4 linked regions of the Callithrix jacchus genome follow. The protein of the gene in region 2 interacts with the protein of the main gene of each other region in a pairwise test. Links are inferred from orthologs where the notes say so. Each region holds a gene or a part of one and is shown on either strand. Other genes may lie near its edges.

Region 1 (5,596 bases), on a different chromosome or scaffold from region 2:
CCATCCTGGGTGACAGAGTGAGACTCTTGTCTCAAACAACAACAACAACAACAGCAAACAAACAAAAACCCACGGAACCCTTCTGCAACATTTTTTTCTCTTCTAACCAGGCTTCAGAGAGCTTAAGAAGAATCCTGATTAGTTAGACTAAAATTACATTTTCCCTGCTAATTGAGCTAAATTTGAGGAAATATTCTATTATACATACACTGAGATGCTTGTAAGATTGTATGTGTGTGTGTGTGTGTGTGTGTGTGTGTGTCTGTGTGTGTGTTTAAAGCCTTCATTACTAAAAATATTTTTTTAAACATTTTTAACCACCTAGATTGTCTAATCCTCTCACTGAGTGAGGAACCCGAAGACTGGAGAGGGCCCGGGCATTGCCTGGGGCCACAAAGCAGTGAGTGGCAGAGCCCAGAGCCAGGGGCCCAGAATCTCTCAGGGAATCCAGCCCCGTGCTCCTTCCACACTTCAGTGCTGGCTTGGTTTGGAACTGCTGGGACCTGAGGAAGGGCGGAGAGCGGGCCCAGGGCTCAGGGCTTAGTGTAGCCCAACTTGAGGGCTCATTGAAGCCTTGGCCAGAAACTCTTCACTCATACCTGCACCCAGACACCATGGAACGTGGCTCAGCCAGTCCTCCACAGAGGGAAGCCTAACATCCTCTGGAATGAGTAGTGGTCGGGGAGTCAGGAATCTGGGGATCCAGCCCAGCCAGGCCACTTCTTAGCTCAGCAACACTGGGCTGCCCCTGTCACCTTTCTGGCTTCCTTGGCTGAAAAAAAAAAAAGCAAAAAAAAAGCAGAAACCCTCCGAAAGCAAACGGAGGTCAAGGGCAGGGGTGGGTAACACAGCCCCTGTTGTCTCCTGCAGAGTGAATTCAAAACCAGCTCTGGAGTCACACTGCACTGCCTGGGACTGAATCCCACTTGAGTGCTGTGTGGACTTAGGCAAGGAACTTAACTCTCTGTACCTGTTTCCTCATCGTACAATAGGGATAATATTAACAATCCCTACCCCCATAAACTAGTTGTGAGGAAATTAAGTAAGATAATTCTGGCCCGGGCGCGGCGGCTCACGCCTGTAATCCCAGCACTTTGGGAGGCCGAGGTGGGCAGATCACGAGGTCAAGAGATTGAGACCATCTTGGCCAACATGGTGAAACCCTGTCTCTACTAAAAATACAAAAATTAGCTGGGCGTGGTGGCATGCGCCTGTAGTCCCAGCTACTTGAAAGGCTGAGGCAGGAGAATCCCAGGAACCTGGGAGGCGGAGGTTGCAGTGAGCTGAGATCGCTGCCACTGCACTCCAGCCTGGCGGCAGAGCAGAGACTCCATCTAAATAATAATAATAATAATTCTGTGGAGAGTTCAGTTCTCCAGTTCTGTGGAGATAGCGCCTGATATATAGTAAGTTTTCTGCATAACGGTATAAACAACTGTAAAAAGTTAGCTGTTATTGTTACTGCGCCTGGATCCTCCATTAACTCCACACTCCCTACCCAGGACATGATACATGGTTTCAGATGTCTGTTTGCCTAGAGCCTAGCCCGGTGCCTGGGGCTTACCGAGTAAAGTGGGGCAGTGGTGGTGGTGGGGCAGCAGTAGGAAGGGGAATTGCTCAATACACCCTCCTGGAAATATTAATATTCTAAAGTGGATGCATGCAGTGCATTGAGTCCACCTCCCCTACAAACTCTCCCTCCCACACCCAAAGCAGCTCCTCCGGGACTCAAGGGCTGGTGAATGAATCTTTGAATGATAAATATTCCTATTTTGATGTCCAGTAATAATGAGCTTGTACGCAAGGTGAGTCATCTAGACCTGGTTCATGGATATCCCTACCACAGAGTCGACGATCCGGGACATTTATTCATTCAACAAACATTAATTGGGTGCGTGGCAACCTACTGATTCATGAGTTGGAAGGCGGTAAAATATTATATAGAAGCCACACTTAATGTTATTGGACACGTGTTCCCATAGCGACTATCCTCTGATCTTGTGCAAACTATACTTATGTGACCTTGTTTATGAATTAATGAGGGCCAGCTAATCCTTCCAAAGACTCCAATTTTCGGTTTCCTCAAAAGCCCTTCAGCCTTTACAAACAAGGACCTGTCTTTCTGGGTTGAGCTAACTCCTCGGCTAGTTAAAAGCTTTCTGTGTCTTTAAAAGGGGGAGGCATCCTGTCAAATGGACTCTAAAGCATAGGCTGAAAGAGCGTGAAGTCCCACCCACTTTCTGTGACGTCGTGCGACCCGGCTCCTGATTGCTCTCCTGCGACGTCAATCGCGGGGCGTGTGTCTTGCTGGGACACAGTGGAGGTCTAACCTTTGGTTTGCGGAGCGGTCGGGTGTATTCTCCGCTGCCCCCACGCCCTCGAGGTCTCCGCCACCCGACCCAGCGGCGGAGCCCGCCCGCGCCAGCAGCAGCACCTCCCGCACCGGATCGCTTCTCGCTGGAGCCGGACCTAGCCCGGCGGCTCCAGTCACTATGGTCAGTGATCTTGGGGAATCGCGAAGGGGGAGCGGACAGGGGGCGCAGTGGGCGGGGTCGCCGCCATGGCAGGAGCACCCGCGGGACAGGGTTTGGGAGCGAGTTTCAGACCCCCACCCGCCCCCGCCGCCTTCCGACCCCCTGAAAAACAAAGTCTGGACGGATGCTGGGGGCCAGGTTGCGCCCCCCTGTCCCCCGTGGACGCGCAGCTGAGGAGGTCCAGCTTGGTCCCGAGTCCCCGCCCCCAGCGTGTCCGCCCCAGGTGGCCCGGGGCGCCGCCCCGACGGCGCTGGGTGGGAACCCTCGACGGGAGCGGGGACAGGGAGGCTGCAGCGCTACGGGTCGCCTCGTCTTAGTTAAGTAGCCCCCCAGTCAGCAGCCCACGGCCCCACCCACCCGAGGGCTCGGCCCCTGCCCCAACCCCACGAGAGGATCTAGGAGTTGCAAGGGGGACCAAGTTGCTTGTCCTGGTGGGCAGCTGGACGGTCTCCATCTTTGGAGTCAGGACCCACGTGGAGAGGCTGCCTCAAGTTGTGAGATGCATGAGTTACTGGTAGGGGAAAAGCAAACACTCGGGAATCCCTGATGGAGAGCCCTGTCTGCGCAGAACGGGGCCAGAGACCCTCTGAGCCAGGCTAACCCTGGTCTTGGGCAGGTGGGGAAACTGAGGCCAGGCAGGGAAGGGCTGGTACTGATTGTGGTGGACCCGGGACTTGAACCCAGACCTCTGGACTCTCAGTTCAGTGCTCTTTGAGTTACATCAGTTCACCTTCCAGGTTGCTGTGGGGTCAGGCATCTTATAGGGGACTGGGTGGGATGGTTGCCTAAGACCCTTCAACCCTGAGCAGGCCCCCCTCTACAGGGAGCCTGTGGAGTGAGGGCTGGGTGGCTTGAGTTGGGTCCACATAGCCCGGGGTTCAAGTCTCGGTTCCACCTCTTGGAAAACAAGGAGGCTTTGGTCGGTCTGCTCTCTCCCTCAGCACGGTTTTACACATCTGTGTGATGGGCTGCTGGGGGACCTTGTGAGATGATTAGCCGGGGCTTTTCCTGTGGCAACAGAGTCCCGGAAATGGGTGTGCATAGATCCCTGGTTCTTCAAGCTTGGCCTCCTCTCACCTATGCCTGGGCAGGAAAATGGGTCATCTCAGCAGGATGCTGCCAGACGGGGGCATGGGTCAAAGCCTGGTCATGGCCTGGCACGATCTGGGTGTGGCTTAGGCAGCCAGTGCACTCAAGCTGGGGATGTCCTGGCCAAGCCAGCCTACTGCTGGGGCATGGCTGGGGGCCTCTGGGGCATCTGGAAGCACCAGCTTCCTGCTTCTACCTGCTGCCCAAGGGTTTACCTGGTAGTGCTGCTTCTGGAAGGCAGCCCAGATGTTTCTGCATCACTCACCAGGGAGTGGTTGGGCTGGGGTAATGATCGGCTTAGCCACCTGGAGCTGGAGACTGGCATGCCCTCTGGCCACCACTCAGCAGCTGAGAGCACAGCAGAGGCCATAGCTGCTCTCTGTGCCATGCAGTGAGGCTGCTCACTCTGCCCCCATCTGCCCTGACTTGGGAGACCGGAAGTTAGAGGGAAGATGGGGTCCAAAGCCCTCAGCCCTCACTCGAGGCTTGGGTGCCTTGGAGATGGATATAGTGGTTAATCCACTAAAATAGGACGTCTGTCTGGGAATCACGGGGGTGGAAGCCATGCAGGGTCTGTTTCCTTCCCTTCACATGGCATTTATTGAGCCACCTAGGGCATATGGTGGCTCTGTGCTTCATGGTGGGTTTTTATGTTGAGCCTGCATGGTGTGGATGGTGGTGAGTGAGTGTGTGTCTGTGTGTGTGTGTGTGTGTGTGGTGGACAGAAGAAATATCCTTGGAAAATACAGCATATCCTTTGCTTTCCTGTTTCTACATCACTGGGCTAAGCTTGAGGAAGGGCCCCCATGGAAGACACAAAGCCTCTTGGAAGGCAGGGGTGAGACAAGGACCAGGCCTCTGGCAGAGACTGCAAATAGCACAGGGTCTCGTGCACTCAAGGTGCATTTCATGTTTGGTGAATGAATGAGTCAGACATAAGCAGGAAAACCACAGAATCCTATTGGGCTTTGTTCTGTCATTTGTCAAACAGGCCTCCAGTGGGCACCTTTGTCAGGCCTGTGCTGGGCACTGTGACAGATGAGAGAGACAAGGTGCCTGCCCGCTCTGGGAGCTCACTGCCTGCTGGCCAAGACAGCTGGACACAAGCAGTGTCTGAGCTATAGGTCATGCCTAAGAGACCTAAGGACTTTGGAACACAGTGAGAAGTCAGTATGCTCTGAGGGAGTAGGGGTGTCAGAAGGTTTTGCAGAGGAGGTCTTTGGAGCTGGGTTGAAGGATGTACACGAGTGTTCAAGAGGATTTGGGAAGGGTACATTCCTACTGGGGGTGCGGCGTGAAGGGACAGTGGGCTATCAGGCCTTGAAGGATGGTCAAGAATGGGGGATTTTGGCAAGGGTAAACAGCCTCTGAAGATGCAAGGAGATTAAGGGAGGCAGGGAAATTGAGTCTAGAAAATTTGGTGGGGTCAGGATGGTCTGTGCAGAGCCTCACTGCTGTGCTGTGGGGTTTGGGTTTTATTCCACCAATGAGGGGGAAACCATAACATATTTTTGACAAGTAGGAGGTGGCTGACTTGGATGCTCTCTCTGACAGTGAAGTGGACACAGGGTTGAAGGGAGCCAGGCTGGAGCCAGAGCCCAGCTAATCCCATGCATGCATCCGCCCATTCATTCACACAGTGTGAGCTTCCTGGGCTGCCTTAAAGTACCACAAACTGCAGTGTAGAGCAACAGAAATGGATTCTTACGGTGCCAGAGGCTGGAAGCTCAAGACCAAGATGGCAGCAGGGCCACGCTCCCTCTGAAGGTGCTAGGAAGGTTCTGTTCCAGGCCCCGCTCCAACCTCCTTGGCTTGTGGCTGCCGAACTCTTACCTTCATGTGGCGTGCTTCCTGTGTATGGGTCTGTGTCCCAGGTTTCTCTTTCTGTAAGGACACCAGTCAGATTGGATGGGGGCCACCCTACTCCAGAATGACCTCATCTCAGCTCATTACAGCTGCAATGACCCTATTTC
Region 2 (4,318 bases):
TGTTCTGGCGCTATATAAGGCTGGCGGCAGTCCCGGGACAGACCCTGTGTTCCCCAAGGCGCCTTCAGCCTGCCTCGAGGGACAGAAACTGGAGCTCCGTCTTGGACCGTACAAACACTCGCTGAAAACCTGTGAGTGGCTCAGAGCATTCGCCCAGCCTCCCCAAACATCAGGACTCCACTCAGCTCAGCCACCGCGCTCCTCCGGGAGGGAGGCTGGATGGAAGGGGTGGAACAGCACTGGCGCAGCCGCTGGGGCTGGAGGGCCGCCTGCGGGCATTGTTCCGGCGGAACCGCCGGGGGTCACCGGGCGAGCGCGGGGAGGGGAGCCGCCCCCAGCACCTGCCTGGCCAGTGCGGGGTGGGGAGCGGCCCCCTGCGGCTGCCCCAGGCGCATCTCACCCTGCGCTGCCCCTGTGTGTCCAGGGCCGGCGGCACCATGAGGCAGGCGGGACGCGCGGCGCTGCTGGCTGCGCTGCTGCTCCTAGTACATCTGCGCCCTGGGAGCAGCCAGAAGAGCCCCGAGGTGGCTGGGGTCCAGGACCCGAGTCTGCGCTGGAGCCCCGAGGCGCGGAAGCAGGGCGGCGGAGCCCGCGCGCTCCTCTTGCTGCTAGCGGAGCGCTTCCCGCGCCGCGCGGGGCTCGGGATGACAGGGGATCGGCTGCGGCGTGACAACCCTCCTCTGTCCATTGACCTCACCTTTCACCTGCTGCGGACCCTGCTGGAGCTGGCGCGGACGCAAAGCCAGCGGGAGCGCGCCGAGCAGAACCGCATCATATTCGACTCGGTGGGCAAGTGATGGGCCTGGTTTGGGGCCGCGAAAACTTTGACCCCTTTCCCCCACCTCAGGGTTGGGACGCGGGGCAGAGCCACCAGAGCATTCTCTGCGTGGCTATTTTTTAATAAAAGTGCTGAAGAGCTGTTGGCTTCTGTTGTTGGGGGGGCGGCAGTCACAGCAGGGTGGGAACCTGTGGGAAGGTGGGGCCCCCTAGCCAGCTGGAAGGGAACAGGATGCGCGGGGGAGGGGGGCTCCGGGAGAGCGGCTTTCAGCCAGGTCAGCCAGGTGCCTGTGGACCCCAGGGCTCCCCAAATCCCCAGGACCTCAGGTCCCGGCACCACCGCCTTGCCCTCAACCCTCTTCCAAGGGTGCTGGGCTCACCAGTTCTCTCCTGGCATCACGGAGGTGCCCAAAAAGGGTTCATTTGGCTTCCACCCGCCCAAACGGTCTCAGGTTCCAGGAAGGGCAGAATGGTGGCGGGTCGCCTCCAAAGCCGAAGCTGAGGGATTGGGCAGCGAAAGGAGATACGGGTCTGGGAGCTCGAGTTCTTTATTAAGATCCTCCCGGGGCGGGCGCCGAGCTGGGCTACTCTGCGGTCTCTGCGCAGATCCTCCCCGACCCTAGCGCAGGCTCTTGACCAGAGTCGGGTCGGCGCAGACCTGTGCCTGGGAAAGAAGGCTTAGTGAGCAGGTGCTGAGAAGGCGCGAGGCAGCTCGAGCCCAGCTCACTCGGTCGCCCGCCACGTGGGTTTCTCCTCTACTCAGCCAACTCTGCTTGCCCTCCCAGTAACCCGGAGGTACGGTGGGGGTGGAGGAAGTGTGCTTTTCCGCCCTGGGGGATGCACCTTTGTGGCTCCGGGGTAGGGTGGTACCGAGGATTGGGGGACAGTAACCGGGGGAGGGGACATGAGTGCACCAGCCAGGCCCCATTTCAAGTCCCTCAGGACACTCACCTTAAGGCCCATCCGGCCGCCCTTCCTCCGGCCCCGCAGTGCCCTCGTCTCCGTCCAGGGCCACTTCCTCATCTTCTTCCTCTCCGGAAGTGCCTGGGCCCAAGGAAGGCCTGGTGAGGTGGAGTCCCTGCCTTTCCTGCCATTTTGCCCGCCTTGCCCCCACATGGAGGGTCGGAACCCCAGTCCCGGTGGCCCTTGGCCATCTCCCTCACCCGGCTGGAAGTCGATGGTCCGCAGCATTTCGGCCACGTGCTCTACGCTCACGGTGAATGGCTCCATGCTCTCATAGCCTGGCTCTGGCCGCCCTGCCAGTTCCACCTTCGACATAGCCCCGACCCTGCAGCAACCACACTGGGCTCAACTGGCAATGCCCCAGCACCCTCAAGCCCCTCCCCCAGCCAGTGGAGCAGCGCAGCCCCCTCCTTTCCCTTCCCGCTGTGCCTACTCACTTATTGATCAGCTCCTTGGCCTGCTGCAGGGGAGAAAAGGAGGGTGAGAGTAAGCACTGGGCCAACCTGGGCTAAGTCCCATTTCTTTCTCACCACAGTCCTGCAGGGTAGGTGGGAAGGTACATCCCATTTCATTAAGGAGAAAATGAACTCAGAGGGGGTGAATTGCCCAAGGTGGTAGGGGCAAGGCAGGTCCAAGAGACAAGACTTGAACCTGGATGTCCAGGTGCCAAGGCCCCGACTCCAGCCACTCTGCAGCACTGCCACCCTCCCCTAGAGCCCACCTGGAGGTAGAGCGCCATCTGTGGCTCTTCCATGGACTGTATGGCAGACTCCACCAGCTTAGAGGAGGCCTCCAGGTGATCTCCGTACTGACGGATGAGGCCACGAACACGCTGCAGCTTCTCCTCTTGCTCCCGGGCCAGTGCCTGCAGCAGCTCGCCCTTGCGCTCCTCCAACACTGCACACAGGCTCTCGAACTTCTGGTTTAACAACTGCTTCTGCCTCCGGCTATTGTCCTGAAAGATGGGGAGCAAGGACCAGGGAAGGCGTGGCTGAGACCCGGTGGCTGGGAAATCCCAGGGTACTGGGCCTGCTCCCCACTTGATGGAGCTCAGAGAACCAAGACAGAAAGTGACCCGTCCACAGTGCCACTGCTAGTGGCTGAGCCAGAATCCAGCCCAGATCTCTTCTATAATAAAAACACAATGTTTTAAAGTAGCTTCAATGAGTGCTGTCTATATCCCTAGCCCTGGTTTTTACTTGCGTTATTCCATTTAATTCTTAAAAAGAACCCATGAGGTAGCTGGTGTACCATTATCATCATCACTGTTTTATGAGGTTAAACAAAACCAAAGCACAGAGAAGTTAAATAACTGGATTAAAGTTTCGAGGCAAAGCTGGAATGCATACCCAGCAGCCTGGCTAAAGCCCATCCCACCACTTTCAGGACCCCAGAAACTTTCAGACCAGTTTGGCCACAGCAATTCTTCTGGAAGGAAGCCCGGGGTCCGCAGACCCGCCAGTTGCTGTTCCCCCCTCCCTCTAGCCCAGGCTCACCTCGATGGTCTGGCACACTTCCTCCATCTGTGTGATCACTGCTTGCACCCGGTCATTGCCTGCCACCAGCATCGCAATGCCATCGCTGAGCTCACTCTGACACACAAACAGGTCAGCACTTAGAACTGGGACCTGGTCTAGAGCTACACCCCTCACCCCAGCCAGGGTTGCCTAGAAGAGGGCTGTCCCCTTCACCCCACCCACCATGAGGGCATCTACAGCCCTCTAGAAGACTTGAACTATCAGGAGGTACAGAAGCACATTCTAGGGATTCTAGAAGGAGGTGGAGAGAAGAAGCCCTCCACCACTAAGTGGGAAGGAACAGACAGTCTCCATCCACCAGATGCCAGGCACAGGGCTAGATGCTTTATCTGAAGATTCGTTTCTTGCATCAATTCTGATGCAAGAAATTCTTGATGATTATCCATTTGCATAATATTGCCTCTTCTCTGTTCTCTTTATCTTCTCATTCTGGAAATCTGATTCTCACGCTCAACCCTCTCCTCTCCCAGAGATACACATTCTGTTTTGTTTTGTTTTTTTTTTCAGTCCCCTCATGCTGTTCACTAGTTCTGTTTTCAGACAAAGCGGTCATTTAATTCATCTGTTTCTTTTTTTTTTTTTTTTGAGACGGAGTTTGCTCTTGTTGCCCAGGCTGGAGTGCAATGGTGTGATCTCGGTTCACTGCAAACTCTGCCTCCTGGGTTCAAGCGATTCTACTGCCTCAGCCTCCCAAGTAGCTGGGATTACAGGCATGTGCCACCATGCCTGGCTAATTTTGTATTTTTAGTAGAGATGGGGTTTCTCCATGTTGGTCAGGCTGTTCTTGAACTCCTGACCTCAGGTGATCTGCTCCCCTTGGCTTCCCAAAGTGCTGGAATTACAGGCATGAGCCACCGCGCCTGGCCTGATTTTTTTTTAAGAGACAGTCTCACTCTGTCACTCAGGCTGGAGGGCAATGGTATGATTGTTGTTCACTGCATCCTCAAACTTCTGCCCTCAGGTGATCCTCTCAACTTAGCCTCCTGAGTAGGTGAGACTACAGGCACATGCCACCACTCCCAACTAATTAAAACAATAAA
Region 3 (5,413 bases), on a different chromosome or scaffold from region 2:
AAAAAGTAAAGGCAATCCAGCAGAAAGTCCAGCCTCCTGCATTTCCCTGGACATTTAATAAGGGAGTGGGGAAACAGGCTGGGATTTTTCTCTGGCCAGGAAAACTGATGTGTCCATTTTTAAGGTAGCAATTTCCATAAGCTGCAGAAGAAGCTGCTTCGGGTTCTTCTGCAGCTTATGGAAATTGCTACCTTATTCTTCTTTCTGAGCTCTGGTTAACTAACCACATCATTTATTCATTTTTACATGGGTTGGGTAAAATATACATATATTTATATGGTTTTTGTTTTTATTTTTTTTGAGACAGAATCTTGCTCTGTCACCCAGGCTGGTGTGCAGTGGAGTGATTTCGGCTCACTGCAACCTCCGCCTCCTGGGTTCAAGCGATTCTCCTGTGTCAGCCTTCTGAGTAGCTGGGACTACAGCCACCTGCCACCATGCCCAGCTAATTTTTGTATTTTTTAGTAGAGACAGGGTTTCATCGTATTGGCTAGGCTGGTCCTGAACTCCTGACCTTGTGATCCGCCCACCTCAGCCTCCCAAAGTGCTGAGATTACAGGCGTGAGCCACACCCCCCACAACCCTGTGGCCAAAATTGGCATATATTTTTTAAAAATACTATTTCCTGGCCGGGCACAGTGGCTGACGCCTGTAATCCCACACTTTGGGAGGCAGAGGCAGGCTTGAGGTCGGGAGTTCAAGACCAGTCTGGTCAACATGGTGAAACCCCGTTTCTACTGAAAATACAAAAATCAGCCGAGTGTGGTGGCGAGCGCCAGTAATCCCAGCTACTCCACAGGCTGAGGCAGGAGAATCACTTGAACCCAGAAGGTGGAGGTTATACTTGAACCTGGGAGGTGGAAGTTGCAGTGAGCCAAGATCGCGCCACTGCACTGCACTCCAGCCTGGATGATAGACTGAGGCTCTGTCTAAAAAATAAATTAAAAAAAATACTATTTCCTGATGTGGAAAAATTATGTGAAATTCACATTTCAGTGTATCCGTAACTAAAATTTTATTGCAATACAGCCCATCCATGCCCATTCACTACAGCTGTTTTGGAACTGTATCACATATCACAGAGTTGAGTAGTCTGACAGAGACCCCCATCGACCCCCGCACCAGTGGACTAAAATATTTGCTAGCTAGACCTTTAGAGAAAAGCATGGAGAAAAATGAAGTAGGGAAGTGAGACAGAGAGTGAAGGGGAACAGTAGGTCTGCCATTTTCCATAAGTGCTCATGTCAGATCTCATTAAAAGGTGACATCCGAGCGAGCCCTTTCTGAAGGGTGTCACCTAACCCCAAGGGGCTGCAGCTCTTACCGAAGTAGTCGAGCCAGTTCATCTCGCGCAGCGCCTTGGGGAGTCGCAGGATCTCGATGTTGTACAGGTTATCCACCTCCTTGAGGAGGTTCTGCCTGTCTGACTCAATCTGCTTGATTCGTATTTCCACTGCGGGAGGGCAGAGCCGACGGGACACGGGTCACGGGGCGGGTGAATAGGTGCTGCTCGTGTCCCCACCCGCCAGCATCCCGCGACTGCCCCAGGAAGCCGCGACTGCCCGGCCCCTTCCTTACCTTCACGGTCGAAGTCTTTCAGAAAGGAGGCGAGCTTCCGCTTCCGTAAGGAGTTGGTTTTGGCCACCCGACTGCTGCCCTTCCTAGGAGCCATGGCGCTCGGCGGAGGCTGCGGGTAGCGGCAGAGATGGGGCAGGGAGGCAAGGAACCGGGTAGGCACGAGAAAGGCGGACAAATGCCACCCGAAGAAGTCGCCAGGCACGTACCTGCAGTCCCGAGACAAGGGCTGATCAAAACCTCCCGGTGCCTGTGAGAAAGCGGCTCTACCGCCAACCGCCACCCAATTCAAACTCCACGGCCACAGGCTGACGAATGAGAAGCCGCCGTCCCACAACATCCAATCACAAGCAAGTTCTTGCCGGCCCGGGGTCTCCAGCCCAATGCGCCCTCTACAGCCTGAGTACGTCAGCGCGGCCACCGCCGTCGCGAGTGCTCCTGGGAGTTGTGGTTCAAGATAGTTTCCCCGCCCTCTCCACGCCCACCCGGCTCCGCCCTGGCCAGCTGCAAACGATATTAACTACTATTCCCGGCAGGCCTTGCGACGGCACCTCGACACTGTAAGCTCTGGAGGGCTGAGGGCCGACCAGGACGACGGGGGCCCGCTTGGAAGCCGGGAATCCCAGCACTTTAGGAGGCTGCTTCTTTCTGGCCTGGTTGCAGCTGAGTAGCCGAGGGCCGCCGTGACCCACTGATTGACTGACTACTGACTGGCTGTCTGTCTACCTCTGCGCTCCTCAGGGCCCCAAGCACCCCAGGCCGAACTTCGGAAAAGTGGAGGGAACTTCGGGCAAGTGGAGGGTCGGCGGAGACACAGCAGCCCCACTCAGCAGTGTTTGGAAGGGGGCGGGGGGTGCAGGCTTTGGGGTGGGCGCGCCAGCCCGGCCAGTCTGGGCAGCGAGTGGGGGGAACCCTCTCGTTCCTCGGTCGCCCGCGGGCTGGACCCTCCTGCCCAGTTAACATCTCGGCGCCTCGACTGGGTGCGGAGTGCGGGGTCGCGACTTCAGGTGCAGTAGTGGCGCTTGGCAGCTGGCTGTCCGGTGACTGCAGTAGGAGCCGCGGCCGCTAGACTCCAGGGAGCCCAAGGCAGGAGGCAGCCCTGGGTGTCGAGGCCGTGGGCCTGGGAATGGACGTGTAGACGGCGAGCCCGGCCGAGCCGCGGTACAGTCGGAGGTGCTAACTGTGTATCTTGGCATCTGTCCACAGCCACAGGGTTGGATTGATCGGGGGTTGTGCTGAGGCCCAGCAAGGCTAGAGGCTAGTCTTGAAGTCTCCAGGGATCAGAGCGATAGCTCAGGCTGAGTCTCAAGGCGGGTGGCAGCCGGACAGCCAGACTGGTGAGCTCTTGATGGGTTTGTGGTATGATTGGATTTGGTGCTTTTCACCTGTGGATGCGGTCTGAAGCCATGTCAGAGGGGTTGTGTTTGTGTTTAAGTGTGCATTTTATAGACTGTAGGGGTGATAATCTTCCCTCTCCCCCTCTGAGTTCAGGAACAATCGAGGAAATAAGCAAAGGTGCCAAGCAGGCTCCTGATAGGCACCAGCGAGCTTGGAGACACAGCAGGTGGAACATAGGAGCCCTGGCAAGCCTGGCCCTTCCTCTTGCCAGGGAGAGTCCTTTCTCTCCCTTCCAGCCTGTCCTGTTGCTCCATATGCAACAAGTATTTGAATGTCACTCTTCCGCCCGAGGTCAGCCCTGGGCAGTGGGTGATGGGGGTGACACTCCAGTCTGCTGGGTGCCTGAGAATCTTCATCAGGCAGATGGCCAAGATGAGAGGGGATGACAACCGGTACCTCATGCAGGCTCCCCCCAGCAGGTGTTTTTATGCTGGGCAAGTCTGGCTTCCAGCCTCTTGGTTTCAGCGCTTCTCTCACTCCACTCCCCAATGCGCCCGACTTCCCTGGGCACCTAGGACATCACCCTGCATCTTAGCTAGAGCTGCCACGTCAGGAGCCCCTGATTCACTAGTTTTTGCCAGTTGGCTGTGCCACAAACATTGTGAAATGTGTCATTAAGACATAGCCGGAGGCGCAAGCTTAGAGGAAGTGACTCTTAGCTAATAGGATGTGGTAACACCGCCACTAATTTAAACTGCTGCAGGCTGACAAATGAGAAGTTGCCGTGTTGGGACGGCTGCAACATCCCAAGGAAACTTCAAGCCAAGTGGCCAATCCACATGTGGGACTACAGTACCCAGAAGTCATTGTGGCAACACGATATATTTTCGCGACGCAGTAGCCCTGCAGGCTAGAGGAGCTTTGGGAGATGTTCGTGTTTGAGCACATGCAGACAGACTACGGGTGCGTGTGCAGGTCTGGAGTGTTCTCACACTTTGGCTGTCTCTGCTGGTTTCAGGAAGGCAACCGGCAGCCTCGGGCAGGGGAGACTGGCCTCTGGGTTAGAGAATAGACGGCGCTTGGATGCTGGGAATCCTCTGAAGTAGGAGAGTGCCCTATCCAGGTAACCCTTCCCGAGGGAAAGCCAGGATCTCCTTCACAAAGCTGAGGCAGGGCCTGACGCGGTGGCTCAATCCTGTAATCCCAGCACTTTGGGAGGCCGAGGCGGGCGGTTCAGGAGTTCAAGACCAGTCTGGCCACCATGGCGAAATCTCGTCTCTACTAAAAATACAAAAATTAGCTGGGCATGGTGGCAGGCACCTGTATTTATTTATTTGTTTGTTTGTTTGTTTATTTATTTATTTTGAGATGGAGTTTCGCTCGTTACCCAGGCTGGAGTGCAATGGCGCGATCTCGGCTCACTGCAACCTCCGCCTCCTGGGTTCAGGCAATTCTCCTGCCTCAGCCTCCCAAGTAGCTAGGATTACAGGCACGTACCACCATGCCCAGCTAATTTTTTTTTTTTTTTTTTTTTTGTATCTTTAGTAGAGACAGGGTTTCACCATTTTGACCAGGATGGTCTTGATCGGTTGACCTCGTGATCCACCCGCCTCGGCCTCCCAAAGTGCTGGGATTACAGGCGTGAGCTACTGTGCCCGGCCGGCAGGCACCTGTAATCCCAGCTACTCTGAAGGCTGAGGCAGGAGAATCGCTTGAACTTGGAAGGTGGAGGTTGCAGTGAGCCGAGATCGTGCCACTGCACTCCAGCCTGGGAGATGGAGTGAGACTCCATCTAAAAAAAAGAAGCCACTTCTGGAGGTGAGACAACTCCTGTCCAAACACGAGCATGGAGATGACCGCCCACCCTCGACCCAGTGCCTCCCCGACTGACTTGGCATCCCTACATGGTTATTTTCTTTATGTTTTTATCTTTTTCAACAGAAGATGACTCAAGACCAGCCTCTGGTTGCCGTGCAGGAGGCCCTGAAGAAGTGCTTCCCCGTGGTGGAGGAGCAGCAGGGCCTGTGGCAGAGCGCCCTGCTAGACTGCCAGCCCCTCCTGGTCTCCCTTAGCAACCTGGCGGAGCAGCTGCAGGCCGCACGGAACCTGAGGTTTGAGGATATGCCGGCGCTTCGGACCTTCCCAGACTTAAAAGAGCGATTGAGGCGCAAGCAGCTGGCGGCTGGTGACATCGTCCTGGACAAGCTAGGGGAAAGGCTGTAAGCAGCTCCTTTCTTGGTGGAAGGATTTTAAAATGAGGTGTTTTATATGTAGCTAAGATCAGTCTAGAAGGTGCTTTTCTCCTTGAGAGCATGACATTTGGAGGTATCTCAACCTTCCTTACTTTCCATCTGGGGCAGCGAGACCTCTATCAGAAAGCCATTTTCTGGTATTTTCCTTGTCAGAGACTAGGCATGGTAGTGGTGGGCTTAGTAGAAGTCACAAAAGAACAGAAAAGGAGCAGAGAAAGTGTATTAGCTCTCCCCTATACTTTTCTTTG
Region 4 (5,432 bases), on a different chromosome or scaffold from region 2:
TTCTGAGGCTGAGGCAGGAGGATCACTTGAGGTCAGGAGTTTGAGACCAACCTTGGCCACATGGTGAAACCCCATCTCTACTAAAAACATAAAAATTAGTTGGGCATTGTGGCACATGCCTGTCGTCCCAGCTACCTGGGAGGCTGAGGTGGGAGAATCGCTTGAACTGAGGAGGCTGAGGTTGCAGTGAGCTGAGATCACACCACTGCACTCCAGACTGAGTAACAGAGCGAGACTTTGTCTCAACAAACAAAAAAACAAAAACCTATAGAGCAAGTTTTACTTAGAGAAGTCTCACCTCTATATATGGTTTCTCCATTTGCTTAGAGGCAGAAGTTTTTTGTTTTTTTTAATCAGTTTCAGTTTTGTTCTTCCAGTGGGTTTTGTTTTTCGTTTGTTTTCTATATATGAACAATATATAAATGTATATATTTACTTATATCCCTCATACTCTATATACTACTGTGCACCTTGCTGCTTTCACCTAAAAATACATCATGAAGATTATTACATATCAGCATATAGAGATCTTCCTCATCTCATCATTCTATAGTGATATTCCATTATTTACATGAATCCCAGCTTATTCACTTATCCCTCTACTCACAAGTCTTTCAGTTGTTTGTCATCTTTTTCGATTAAAAATACTACCTTATTCACAAGTTATTTTCTAATCCTGCCTGTAGTTTTGTGATAGATTTCTAGACTGAGATTGTTCTATTAGATCGTGAAGGCATACACAAATGTGCAAGGCATTGTCAAACTCTCTTTTACTATAGTTGTAACTATTTTGTATCCTAACCAAGATACAAGATGTTCTATTTTCTTTCACCATCACCAATCCAGTAAGTTTTCACATTTTTGATTTTTTTCACCAATATGATAGGTGAGAGATGTTCTCTCAGCATGGATTTAATTTATATTTCTTTTACTCTGAGGATTGAATTTTGAAACAGGAAAAAGGTCCAGCAAGCCCCTGTGATAACCAAGAGCCTGAGCATACTTTCAGTTATTTTCTCTTTTATGTCAAAAACATCTTCACACGATGATTGTGAATGTATTCCCAATAATTACCGAATTTCTTCTTTCATCATTAATAACTCTGTCTTCAACTGCCATAGTTCCCAGGGAAATATAATAATGAATTGTCCAAAACCACAGAAGAAAAGTTGGTATTTGAGAGCAGCTCTCTCTGATAACAAGTTCCTTGATCCGTGAAACTACGCTATGCCAAACAGCAAAGAGTGGGAATTCCAAGGAAGAACAAAGACCGTTACAAGGAAGTTTCCTGAAAGATACACCCCAAGTGTGAGTAAACAGCTGGTAAGCAAAGTAGCAATGTGAAATACACATCTGGGTTAAGAAGAAGTTAAGATTCCAGGTATCTACAGAGATGAAGAAAAAGAAAAAGAAGAAGTGAAATAAAGATACGTCACGAACTCATCTTTTCTATTTTAGTTTCATTTTCATGGATTCATTTTTGAGATATATAGTGATTTCCTGTGGATATTTGAGTATACCAGTTAACCCTCCCACCTGCACCAGCCCTTTCTCCAAAAGGTACAATGCTTGAGGGTGTTAAAAATGGCGCTTTTTTTTGCCAGTTGCTAGGAGCCTTAGTCATGGAATGGGCTGTCCTCATCCACAGTGTCCCACTGTTTTCTATTCCCATTAATATCTTCCATTTTTGGTGTCATTTGATCCATGGAAATGCCACCGTTTCAATTTTCCCACTGTATCTGAGCATATCAATTCTCTCAGCATCCCAATGCTTTTTGAGCACCCAGTCTACGCTAAGCATAGCCCAATCCTATGCAACTTCAGCAGAGAATGGGTACCATTACTGCAAAAGCGATGCTGTGCTTCCTGCACAGGATGCCAGTAGCCAGAGAAGGTGATGATAGTACATGGTAATATACAGGCTGCAACGCAGTTCCAGAGAGCTTGACTTCAGCGTTGTCTCCCTAGCGATGAGCTTCACTGATTCCACTGTGTATTTAAATGTGCTTTACCCCTTTCTGTGAGTCACATGTGGGCCACATAGAGGATAAAATGTGTTGGTCATTTTATCACCCCGCCCTTCTCATTTCCTGAATCTCATGAAGCTGGTTGAGTCTCACAGATCACTAGAGACAGAGCTATTTCCACAGGAGGCACAACTGCTTCCACATCCCTCCTCAGAGCTGTCCCTTGGCTTGGGGGTGAATTTCAGGCCAACAGGGCTGCCTGGGATACAAGAGCGTTCTCCATGGATCTTCCTTACTACCACGGCCCTCTGACCAAGCGAGACTGTGAAACCTTGCTGCTCAAGGAAGGGGTGGATGGCAACTTTCTGTTAAGAGACAGCGAGTCGATACCAGGAGTCCTGTGCCTCTGTGTCTCGTGAGTAGCCTCATCTTGCACACATGTGACATCGTACATTGAATGCGGCAAAGGCACAGTAAAGGAATACATATCCCTCAGTGTTTCACTCTGATGTTGCAGTCAAAATGCATAAAGTGAGAAATAATGAGCAGTGCCAGGAGAGGCATGTGTCTGTCCGTGCTCCCCCATCTGCCTTGCTCTCCCTGGTGTAAAGGCCTGCAAGCAGACTCTGCAGCAGCAGGAGGGATATGGTGGTGGTGAAGGGAAGGGCTGAAGAAGAGGGGTACGGGGGGATGGAGAGAAGGTACTGTTCTCCAGAGATCTGTTTATTTGGTATGGAAAAGGCTAGGGGTTTTAAAAGAAATTTCAATCTGAAAGACTACTTATTCTGCAGTATCCACTTGCAATACTTAAACTATAAATCCTAATAATATTTCACATTTTGTTAGATTTGTAAAGGACTTCAATATTCGTCATTTTCTTTCATTCTTGTAGTCTATCAAGGTAAGCATAAGCAGTCACCATTTCATAGGTAAAGAAACAGAGACCTTGGTTTCTCAAATAATTTGTGTTAAAACTAATTTGGAATTTCCAGAGTCTAAGTTAAATATGAAATTCCAGGCTGGGTGTCATGGCTCATGCCTGTAGTCCCTGCACTTTGGGAGGCTGAGGCAGGGGGATCACTTGAGGTCAGGAGTTCGAGACTAGCCTGGCCAACACGGTGAAACCCCATCTCTACCAAAAATACAAAAATTAACTTGGTGTGGTGGCGTGTGCCTGTAATACTGGCTACTTGAGAGGCCAAGGCAGGAGAATCTCTTGAACCCAGGAGACAGAGGCTGCAGTGAGCCAAGATTGCACCACTGCACTCTGGCCTGGGCAACAGAGTAAGACCCTGCCTCAAAAAAAGAAAAAAGAAATTCCAGGCTACAATATCAAAGAGACCCAGTGGAAGGAACTTGCTTATGCCCAGTTTAGAAAGCAATCCTAAACAGAAATCTGAACAGATATCACTAGAAACCTCCTATCTTGATGTATTTTCCTCTTTGTAAAGTAGGGGCCACTGAACCTGTTATTATACCTGTAACAGAAAGTGAAACCCCGGTGTCTCTTGTTAAAGAAAAAAATTACTCTATGTCATTTGTTAAATCATGGTTGGGAAGACTTTACTCAGGATCATCACAATAGGTATAGGGACCACTGCAAGGAGCTCTTAGTGCAGAGGAAAGATTGGACTCAACTCTGAGTACAGCACGGACAAGTGGGAATTTATGGCCAAGGAGTAGTGTGGGATCAGTGGCTAGAAAATTACTCAGAGGAAACATCAGGGGTAAAGGGGATTCTGGCTAAGCCAGCCTAACAGAATTGTAGCTGAAGACAGACCAGGGTGATCAGTTGTTGCCTGGGGGATGGTGGAGGAGGAGGAATCTCATCAGAACCTGACAGTGATCAGATAGCTAGGGCGAGGTGTCCTTGCCAAACTGACTTAGTAGGGTTCTTTGCTAAAACTGGATTTTACAAGGAAGTACACAAATGGGCCATGGAGTAGGCTCAGAAGTCTGATTACAGACAAAAGTGATTGTCCTTACTAATAGAATACATTGGGACACACTTCTTTCTGTAAATGATACTGGAGAGACAGGCTATCTCTCTTATACCTACATCCACAGTACCATTTAAAGAAAAATATATGTTGGCTAGGAGCGGTGGCTAACGCCTATAATCCTAGCACTTTGGGAGGCTGAGGTGGGCAGATCACTGAGGTCAGGAGCTCAAGACCAGCCTGGCCAACATAATAAAACCTTCATCTCTACTAAAAATACAAAGATTAGCTGGGCATGGTGGGGGTATCTGTATCACAGCTACTCAGGAGGCTGAGGCACGAGAATCGCTTGAACCTGGGAGGCAGAGGATGCAGTGAGCTGAGATGGCACCACTGCTATCCAGCCTGGGAGACAGAGAGACTTTCCGTCTCAAAATAAAATAAATAAGCAAATAAATAAAGAGTGGGTAAGATCTGGTTACATAGAAATGGGATGGAAGGTGCTTTAGGAAGGGGAGGAGGTAGGAACAGTGGTCTAGAAGTTGGATACTTTAAAGTATGTACATACAGGGTTCCTAAAATGTCATTTGGAAACCAGCTTTTGGAGAAGGAGGATGGGATAAGATCAGGTAGTTTTAAAAGAGTGGTTCTAAAGCTAATGGGGAAACATGGATGGTTTTTGAGCGGAGAAGTGACAAGACTAGTGAATTTAGAAACTTAAATCTGACATGAAGAACACAGTGAAGCTGGAAAATGATGGCAATAGAAACTGTTGTGCCTCTGGATGGGAGATGGTGAAGAGCTAGCTGTGATGGTGCAAGCAGCGAAAAGGGAAAAAAGAAGGTGCAAGGACAGACTGGCCAGGATCTCAGGGTATACGGTCAATATTGGGATTCTCCCTCCTTCCCTCCCTCCCTCCCTCCCTCCCTCCCTCCCTCCCTCCCTCCCTCCCTCCCTCCCTTCCTTCCTTCCTTCCTTTTTTTTTCTTTCTTTTGTTCTTTCTTTCTTTCTTTCATTCTTTCTTTCTTTCTCTCTTTTCTTTAGACAGGGTCTCACCCCAACTCCCAGGCTGGAGTGCATAATCATGGCTCACTGTAACCTTGACCTTCTGGGTTCAAGAGATTATCCTGTCTCAGCCCTTCTGAGTATCTGGGACTCCTGGTGCACACTACCGTGCCTGGCTAATTTTTAAATTTTTTGTAGACATGGGATCTTGCTATGTTGCCCAGGCTGATTTCAAGCTCCTGGGCCCAAGTGATCGCCCACCTCAGCCTCCCAAAGTGCTGGGGTTACAGGTATGAGCCACTGCACCCAGCCTATTGGGATTCTCTTTGAAAATTTATATTTATTCTCAACTGTTCTGTGGTGCATCAACCCAGCTTGCATATTCATCCAAAGCAAAGATCACTGAGAAATGCTAAGAAAAAATAATAAATCAAGTGGAAAGGCAAAAATAAATATTTGTTAAGCCCCTGCACATGATCAGGTCTCACCTGCATCCCTAGGCATGTCACGGAAAGGCAAG

The links.
Region 1: the proteins of TRIM54 (region 2) and OTUB2 interact in binary tests that used the Homo sapiens proteins (3 or more experiments, as listed by UniProt). The two-hybrid records come from large-scale screens. The link is inferred for Callithrix jacchus from reciprocal best matches to the Homo sapiens genes TRIM54 and OTUB2.
Region 3: the proteins of TRIM54 (region 2) and AIRIM interact in binary tests that used the Homo sapiens proteins (3 or more experiments, as listed by UniProt). The two-hybrid records come from large-scale screens. The link is inferred for Callithrix jacchus from reciprocal best matches to the Homo sapiens genes TRIM54 and AIRIM.
Region 4: the proteins of TRIM54 (region 2) and SH2D1B interact in binary tests that used the Homo sapiens proteins (3 or more experiments, as listed by UniProt). The two-hybrid records come from large-scale screens. The link is inferred for Callithrix jacchus from reciprocal best matches to the Homo sapiens genes TRIM54 and SH2D1B.

The regions. Positions count from the first base shown.
Region 1 is NC_133509.1:128,846,739-128,852,334, forward strand, and holds the start of OTUB2 (ubiquitin thioesterase OTUB2), read left to right. Parts: upstream 1-2,292; 5' UTR 2,293-2,492; coding exon 2,493-2,495; intron 2,496-5,596. UniProt on the Homo sapiens protein: Hydrolase that can remove conjugated ubiquitin from proteins in vitro and may therefore play an important regulatory role at the level of protein turnover by preventing degradation.
Region 2 is NC_133515.1:87,713,613-87,717,930, forward strand, and holds the end of TRIM54 (tripartite motif-containing protein 54), read right to left. Parts: intron 3,333-4,318; coding exon 3,237-3,332; intron 2,696-3,236; coding exon 2,462-2,695; intron 2,201-2,461; coding exon 2,178-2,200; intron 2,066-2,177; coding exon 1,941-2,065; intron 1,822-1,940; coding exon 1,730-1,821; 3' UTR 1,729-1,729; intron 1,442-1,728; 3' UTR 1,308-1,441; downstream 1-1,307. Other genes in the region: UCN (urocortin), read left to right, coding at 438-797. UniProt on the Homo sapiens protein: May bind and stabilize microtubules during myotubes formation.
Region 3 is NC_133508.1:74,245,871-74,251,283, reverse strand, and holds the start of AIRIM (AFG2-interacting ribosome maturation factor), read left to right. Parts: upstream 1-2,109; 5' UTR 2,110-2,365; intron 2,366-2,781; exon of another isoform or gene 2,782-2,912; intron 2,913-3,825; exon of another isoform or gene 3,826-3,931; 5' UTR 3,932-4,036; exon of another isoform or gene 4,037-4,153; intron 4,154-4,458; 5' UTR 4,459-4,731; intron 4,732-4,849; exon of another isoform or gene 4,850-4,854; 5' UTR 4,855-4,857; coding exon 4,858-5,132; intron 5,133-5,413. Other genes in the region: CDCA8 (borealin), read right to left, coding at 1,325-1,453, 1,579-1,672. UniProt on the Homo sapiens protein: Part of the 55LCC heterohexameric ATPase complex which is chromatin-associated and promotes replisome proteostasis to maintain replication fork progression and genome stability.
Region 4 is NC_133519.1:39,150,104-39,155,535, forward strand, and holds the start of SH2D1B (SH2 domain-containing protein 1B), read left to right. Parts: upstream 1-2,128; 5' UTR 2,129-2,248; coding exon 2,249-2,382; intron 2,383-5,432. UniProt on the Homo sapiens protein: Cytoplasmic adapter regulating receptors of the signaling lymphocytic activation molecule (SLAM) family such as CD84, SLAMF1, LY9 and CD244. In SLAM signaling seems to cooperate with SH2D1A/SAP.